Linked DNA regions of Ovis aries. The protein of the gene in region 2 purifies or fractionates together with the protein of the main gene of each other region. This does not show direct contact. Links are inferred from orthologs where the notes say so. Each region holds a gene or a part of one and is shown on either strand. Other genes may lie near its edges. The genes, in order: STYX and FBXL12.

The links.
Region 1: the proteins of FBXL12 (region 2) and STYX purify together in Homo sapiens (affinity purification with mass spectrometry; 4 studies listed by BioGRID and IntAct, with this or other methods). This does not show direct contact. The link is inferred for Ovis aries from reciprocal best matches to the Homo sapiens genes FBXL12 and STYX.

The regions. Positions count from the first base shown.
Region 1 is NC_056060.1:11,435,115-11,439,033, forward strand, and holds the start of STYX (serine/threonine/tyrosine-interacting protein), read right to left. Parts: upstream 2,130-3,919; 5' UTR 1,876-2,129; coding exon 1,819-1,875; intron 1,570-1,818; exon of another isoform or gene 1,545-1,569; intron 1-1,544. UniProt on the Homo sapiens protein: Catalytically inactive phosphatase. Acts as a nuclear anchor for MAPK1/MAPK3 (ERK1/ERK2). Modulates cell-fate decisions and cell migration by spatiotemporal regulation of MAPK1/MAPK3 (ERK1/ERK2).
Region 2 is NC_056058.1:12,269,212-12,273,130, forward strand, and holds the start of FBXL12 (F-box/LRR-repeat protein 12), read right to left. Parts: upstream 2,414-3,919; 5' UTR 2,163-2,413; coding exon 2,077-2,162; exon of another isoform or gene 1,968-2,076; coding exon 1,895-1,967; exon of another isoform or gene 1,893-1,894; coding exon of another isoform or gene 1,797-1,892; intron 1-1,796. UniProt on the Homo sapiens protein: Substrate-recognition component of the SCF (SKP1-CUL1-F-box protein)-type E3 ubiquitin ligase complex.

The DNA.
Region 1 (3,919 bases), on a different chromosome or scaffold from region 2:
ACTCACATCCATCGAGTCCGTGATGCCATCCAGACATCTCATCCTCGGTCGTCCCCTTCTCCTCTTGCCCCCAATCCCTCCTAGCATCAGAGTCTTTTCCAATGAGTCAACTCTTCGCATGAGGTGTCCAAAGTACTGGAGCTTCAGCTTTAGCATCATTCCTTCCAAAGAAATCCCAGGGTTGATCTTCTTCAGAATGGACTGGTTGGATCTCCTTGCAGCCCAGGGGACTCTCAAGAGTCTTCTCCAACACAACACTTAGTAGTAGCTGCAGTCAAGTCTGAGACCAGTTTGCACTCCAAACTTTCTGGATTTAGTTACTTCTTTTCTTTGTTACTTACGCTCCTCTGGTTTCTGTCCCTTGTAACTGAGAGATAACAAACATCCAATGCTACAGAATAAGGAACGATCTGGCTTTCAGTAGATGATATGAATATCATTATGTACTAGGGTTAAGTATTACTTCTCTCCAACACAAGAAAAGCAGCAAGCAGGAAAGAAGCAAGCTGTGTTCCTAAGAATTTTACAATCTTTGCAAAGATAAGATGTATTATCATTCAATAAGATTAGATGCAAAGTCTGTAAACATTTTAAACTAGAACTATTACGACGAGAACAGGGAAGAATTGAGGTGTATTTAAAAGGACAATGAATTAAGAACGAGGACACCAAGGTGCACTAGGAATACCATTTATTCTTAGTAAGCTACAATTTCTTCATCTTAAAAGTGGGAAAGCTCTACATTATTTCTAAGGTTGCCTAGTGTTGAAATTACTGAATCATTTCAAGGATATATAAGCATACTCTTCATTCACATTATTCCATATAAAAGAAAAAAGTATAAAATCATTCTTAACCTAACCTAAATTCTCTTTTTTCCTATTTGAATCTACTCTTAAAAACATGAAATTCTCAAGGATTATCATCACAAGCAAATGATCCCCCAAATCAAAAAAGGTGAACCAACCACAAAAGAAGACATTTAATAGAATGAATACCTGCCATAAACTGATCTCTTAAAAGCAGAAATTTAACATTTCTTTCTTGAGACTACTAGAGCGCATTCTGTCTTCAGAAAATTTCTAATTTAGTAGTCTCCAATACCATAAAGCATTTTAAACTAGGAATAGATGCGGGAAAACGCAATACAAACGATAGGGAGGGAAGATGTAAGGTGGGATGAAAAAAACCCCGAGTTAGAAATCAGGAGACCAAGTTATAAAGAATTTTATTCCCCATATTAATTTCCCTCCAAAGGGCAAGTTTTTTGACTGAAGTTTTCAGATTCAAATGAGCTAGTTTCGTGACATTTCACTCTGATGATCACGGTTTGCCTCAAAAACACCAAAAATCAAATCAAACCAAAACAAACCAACTACTTCGGGAAACTTGTTGAAGGCACACTTCCAAGTTCAGGCCCCACATCAATTCCACACGTGGGCTCATGTGTCCCACAAGTCAATCGATGACACCAAAGATTATCCCTCAAAATGAGATTAAAAACATATCCTTGCATTGCTTTGGCAATAAAAGGGTTATCTTACTTCAAGTAAGTCCTCGACGCCGAATCTGGGGGAAAAAGGACTGAAGTAAGCAGACCAGACCCGGCCCGGGCGTCTCCGGAGGGGAAGAGGAACTCCGGGAGCCGTGGTCGGGGCAGACGGCCCCGGAGCGCGAGACTCCGCCCCGGGGTCCCGAGACGCCCTCAGGAGGCAACAGGGCTACCAGTAGGTGAAGGCTGCGACGGTTGGGGCCTGGGGTTCGCCCCTCGGCGAAGAGCCACTGAGGCCTGTGCGTGTTAGTCACTGCCAGACTCACCTCGGCGTCTTCTTTGCACTGTGGGAGCGAGGGGAACTCCAGCTTCACGTCCTCCATGGTCCTGGCCCGCGGGTTTGTGGGTGGGGCCGGGTAGGAGTGGGAGTTACCCGCCGGCCGACCCTCGGGCAGGCAGTGGCGGTGAAAGGAAATGTAGACAGGAGGACTGACCGGGAGGCAGCGGGCTTACAACTAACACACGCAGACTATAGGGTCCCGGCGACTCCGGCGACAGCCGGGAAGAGGGTTGGGCGGCTCGTATCCGGCCGCCATGCTGCTGCCGTCTTCTTCCCCCCCGTGCTTCCGCGCCCCTCAGGCCGCCCAAGCTCTAGCACCAACACGAGCCCTACAACCGTCTCCCCTCCTTCCCCCTCCCGCCGTCCCCGCGCAGCCCCAGCCAATCCCAGCCTACGCTTGCCTTCGGCCCGCCCCCCCCGCGGCCGCCAGGTGTCAGCGCGCCGCCGCCCCGCCCCTTCGCGAGCGCGCAGACGCTGGGGGGCGGGGCCCCGGAGGCGCCCGGGCTGGAGCTCGCTGGATGTGGAGGAGGTGGGGCTGCCGCAGGAGGGAGAACGGACTGTCCCGGGAAAGGCAGTGGGATAATCTGAAACAACTCTGCCCTTTCTGGACCCAACGCAAATCCCTACTTTGATGTAAGAACCGGGAAGACATCCTAGCCCCCATACGAAACTGGCATACGAAAGGAAACTGTAGTTTTCTCCCTTCCTGAGAATCCTGCTCAATCTGTGGTGAGGTTATAACCAAGAGTAATGAAGAGTTCACCTGAAAATTATGTAATGCGACACAGAGAATGAAACACTCACTTTTAAGCAAACCGAAACGGTGTACTTTTAACAATACTTGGGAATATGACAATTGGAAAATATCAAGAAAAAATCTTAAATTAGAAAAATTGATAGCTCACTAATTTGTACATAATACTGAAGGTCTCTTCCTTTAATTTTAAGCTTATTACACTTCAACGTATTAGTAAACTATAAACTATATGGCTTTCAATATCTTTTTAAAAGGAGTTTGAATCAGTTAATACGATATTGTTAATAAAGTTCAGGTATATAACACTTTCTCTGGGCCTAGGGAGATAATGGTATCTTTTTTGTTTTTAAACAGATGAAGAAAATTAAGATTAGTGGAGGAACCCACACTTAAAAACATTCAAGATTTGTACACCAAACTTACTCTTAAAAACGACCCCCCGCGCCCCAACAACTGCAAATTACAATGGAAAGAATAAAAAAGATCACATTGATATTTGACCTAAACCTGACATCCTATTACTTTTTATAGTCATATTTATGAAACTCACTAAATATACAGAGAAATAGAACTGTTTAATAATTTTTTAAGGATTAAATTGGCTAGTTTGAGGGCTCCATTTTCTTCACCACTATCTGTAAACGGTTCTCTTTTAGTCATAAAAAGGCACATATTACTCTGCTAGCAAGTTTTTTATTAGAAGAATGATTTTATAATTACCTGAGTCATATTCATTTCTTCAGTGTTTACTAAACTGAAGACAGTTTCTTTTTTTTAACTGCACCTTTAATAACATAATCTTAATTGCTGCCCAATGATGATTTCCTGTTGTAATTTGTTAAAGCTTTAATTCCCACATAATATGAGAAAGAATTGTGTATAGGTAACAGAACTTTTGTTTTGAACACTTCTGACATCAACATCCCCTACATCAGACACTCTGAGCCTGGTATCCATAGATACCTATGGAGTCCATGGGTGAGCTTGGGAAATAATACATCTTGCAAGTTTTAATATATGCAAAATTGTGTGTATACATATGTGTAAGTTTTTCTGAGAAGAGTGTACAAACCTCAAAAGGAAATTATCATCTTACAAAAATCAAGAAAACCAAGTCACATTTAATAGCAAACATTACTTTTAATCATAATCTTAAAAAAAAGGTATGGATATGCATGTACTGAATCAATCAACTATCATACAGCCTAATCATAGAAGGCAAAAAATAAATAAAGACTTAATGGAAGGAGGGATATACAGATATAGACTCTCTCTCTCGCTCTCTCTCTCATACACACACACACACACACACATCTATGTTACATATAGT
Region 2 (3,919 bases):
GTGGTTATTCTGGGGAAGGGTAGAGATACCAGGGGATGACTGTCAAAGGCTCTTGCTTCATCTGTGACCATATTTCAATGTTTTTTTGGCTTGGTTTGGTTTTAATTTAGATATAATTAACATATAACACTATATTAGTTTCAGGCATACATACAACATAATGAACCAATACTTGTATGTATTATGACATGATCATCACAATAAGTCTAGTTAATATCTATCACCATACATAGTTATACTACTTCCAATTTTTGTAAGAATTATTCATGATCTGTGATTTTAAAAAATAAAACCTCAAAAAGAGAAATGTAAAACAAATGTCCTAGTTAATCTCTATTATGGGTACTAAAGTGTTTTAGAAGTGGACTCATCTGTAACTGATTTTGAAGCATACTTAAAAAATAAAATGGGAAAACAAAATAAATAAACATTTGAAAAATAAAAGCTTGATGGAAAGAGGGATGGATGGATGAAGAGATGATAAAACAAATGTATTAAGTATTAGTGGTGGGCAACTCTATGTTCTCTGTTCTTTTAACTATTACATACGTTTGAAAGTTTTCGTAATAAAATAGTCTGGTGGCTTGGAGATAAAGAATCTGCCTATCAGTGCACTGGGTCGGAAAGATCCCCCAGAGGAGGAAATAGCAACCCACTCCAGTATTCTTGCCTAGGAAATCCCATGGACAGAGGAGCCTGGCGGGCTATAATCCATGGGGTTGCAAAAAGTTGGACACGACTGAGTGACCAACACCAACCTAACACCAACAGGTGATTCATATGTACAATAAAGTTTGAGACACGGTCTTATAAAGCTGTTTGTGATGGTAGAAAGTTGGAAATAATCTAACCATCTGTCAACAGGAAAATAGAGAAACAAACTGTGGTATATTCATTTAACAGCAATTAAAAGGAATGAATTAGATTTACAAGTACTAATTAGAGTAAATCTCAAAAGTGATGTGTGAATAAAGTTGCTAATGGGTGGATATATTAATATAAGTAAAATAGCATTTAATTATCTAAAGAGTAGTTTTATCTCAATTTTAGAAACACAGTAACAATACTGTATACTGCTGATAAGCACATACATAGGCAGTAAATAAAAACATGAAGGGATACAAATCCACTTCATAGTCATGGTTATCTCTGAGGAGGGTTTCAAAAGTGCAAGAAACATATGTGCAAATGTTGTATGCATATGTTTGCATAGAAACATTTGTATGTGTATTTCACAAGATCTGCAGTGAATAAAGCCAAAGGTTTAAAAAGATTAAATCTAGGTGGTGAGTACATAGTTTCAGATATTATCCTCTATACATTTCTATATCTATCTGAAATAGTTCATAATAGAAAGAAAAATGCAAAGGGTCAACTCATTGGAAAAGACCTGATGCTGGGAAAGATTGAAGGCAAAAGGAGAAGGGACAGCAGAGGATGAGACGGTTAGAGAGCATCACTAACTCAGTGGACATGAATTTGAGCAGACTCTGGGAAACAGTGAAGGACAGGGGAGCCTGGTGTGCTGTAGTTCATAGGGTTGCAAAGAGTTGGGCAACTTAGCGACTGAACAACAACAAAGAAAAATAAATAAAGCACAAACGGGAGAAAGTTGAAATGATTTGGTTGACTACTCAGATTAATTCTAGAACTAAGTCGACTATAGAAAATTTCTCCATGAAAACTCATCAGTAAGCTCTTTTCCTGCAAGACCTTGGTTATACCCATTCTGGAGATGGGGAAGCTGAGGCCTGGAGGTCACTGCAGAGCAAGTAAGGGACGCGGGCGGGACGCACTCGGGAGAGCCTCGCTCGAAACACAGGGTTGGAGGCGTGGTCCTCGAAGTCCGACCAACCCGACCTCGGCCCAGGCCTGCCCGGCCAGACCCGCATACCGTGTAGAGCGTCAGGTCGACGTGTCGCCACAGCCACCGGTCGTCCACCAGCTTCTTCCAGTGGTGACAGACCCTGGGGGAGGGGACCCGCCGTTAGAACGACCCGGGCCCGCGAGGATCAGATGTGCGTCTCCTAGTGCGCCCCCCGCCTGGCCCTTCCCTCCCGCAGGGGGCGGCCGCACCTGGAGATTCGGATCCGATCCCGGACCTGGAGGTAAGAGAAGATCTCCAGCAGGACCGAGTCGGGCAAGTCGGCAAAAGTCGCCATGATCCCGTTGACACGCACTTCCGCTTCCGTCTAAAGGAACTCGGGGACTCGCCCTGCGGGGGCCCTAAGAAGCGGGGGAAAGAGAGGGTGCGGACAGGGAGGTGGTCGCAGTTTCCGGTAGCTGGCGGGGTTTCGGCTTTGCTCTTGAGGGGACGTGGCTGGACCTGGCAGCCAGACCAGCACGGCATCAGAACTCCGCACAGAGGATGGGGCTGGGGACTGGGACCAAGCCTGGAAGGCGTGGCTAAGGCGATTACGAAGTCAAGGGCGGGGTTAAGGTGGGAACACGGCTCGGGGGCGGGGCCGGAGAGGAGGGCCAAACAAAAAAGGCGTGGCTCGGGCGACGCTGAGCCTGGGGCGGGGCTAAGGGCGAGAACGAGACTGGGGGCGTGGCTGGAGGTTAGGACCGAGCTCCTAATACCGATGCCGAGCCCTAAAGGGCGGGATTGAGGGCGGGACCAAAAGCGGAGCTCTAGGCAGAGAGGGAAGTCCCTATTTTTTTACTTAATAGTGCTTTTTTGTCCATGAGAATAAATTTGTAGAAGTGAAATAGCTTGTTAAAAGACACTGAATTTTTTACTTTTACTGATGGCGCCAAACTGTTCTCCACAGAGCCTGAATTGACACTTGCTCCACATATATAACACTCATTTTTAAAGTTGCCAAGTCATCAGGGCAGTGAAATTTATTGAAACACTCCTGTATTAATGAGCATTCAGGTTGCTTCCAGGTAAGCTAAACAATACTGGAGCTAAACATTCTTTTATATACATATATTAGTTCAGTTCAGTTCAGTCGCTCAGTCGTGTCTGATTCTTTGGGAACCCATGGACGGCAGCACACCAGGCTTTCCTGTTCACCAACTCCCAGAGTTTGCTCAAACTCATGTCCATCGAGTTGGTGATGCCATCTAACCATCTCATCCTCTGTCGTCCCCTTCTCCTCCTGCCTTCAATCTTTCCTAGCATCAGGGTCTTTTCCAATGAGTCAGTTCTTTGCATCAGGTGGCCAAAGTATATATACATATATATGTAACATATACTAGTATCCCACAAGCTGTACAGCATGGCAAGACAAACAAAATCCCCAACAAACAAAGAACCATGTATTGCCATTATAGGCTCTTGAAAGTGTGATTTGGCAAAAGCTATTCAAAATTATAAGCAGTACACTCTCGTTGAATTTTTGTCATACTGTTTGAGGAAAGAACTACATAATTGGCGAATAAGACCTACACTGTAATAACTGTTAATCTGATGACTTTCCAATTAATTCATTTAAAAAACATTCAGTTCAGTTCAGTTCATTTCAGTCGCTCAGTCGTGTCCGACTCTTTGCGACCCCATGAATTGCAGCACACCAGGCCTCCCTGTCCATCACCAATGCCCGGAGTTCACCCAAACTCATGTGCATTGAGTCGGTGTTGCCATCCAACCATCTCATCCTCTGTCATCCCTTTCTCCTCCCGCCCCCAATCCCTCCCAGCATCAGGGTCTTTTCCAATGAGTCAACTCTTCGCATGAGGCATGTCCTTTGACACATCAATCCAATTCCTGGTTTGATTTATCATATAGAAATAGATTGTATTTATAATAGAAACAGAAAGTATATATTACATATATATGTATATATATATATTATATCTATAATAGCTTTTACTAAATCACACTCCCAAGAGCCTATAATGGTAATACATTGTTTTTGTTTGTTTGTTGGGGGCTTTGTTGTTTTGCCATACTGTGCAGCTTGTGGGATCT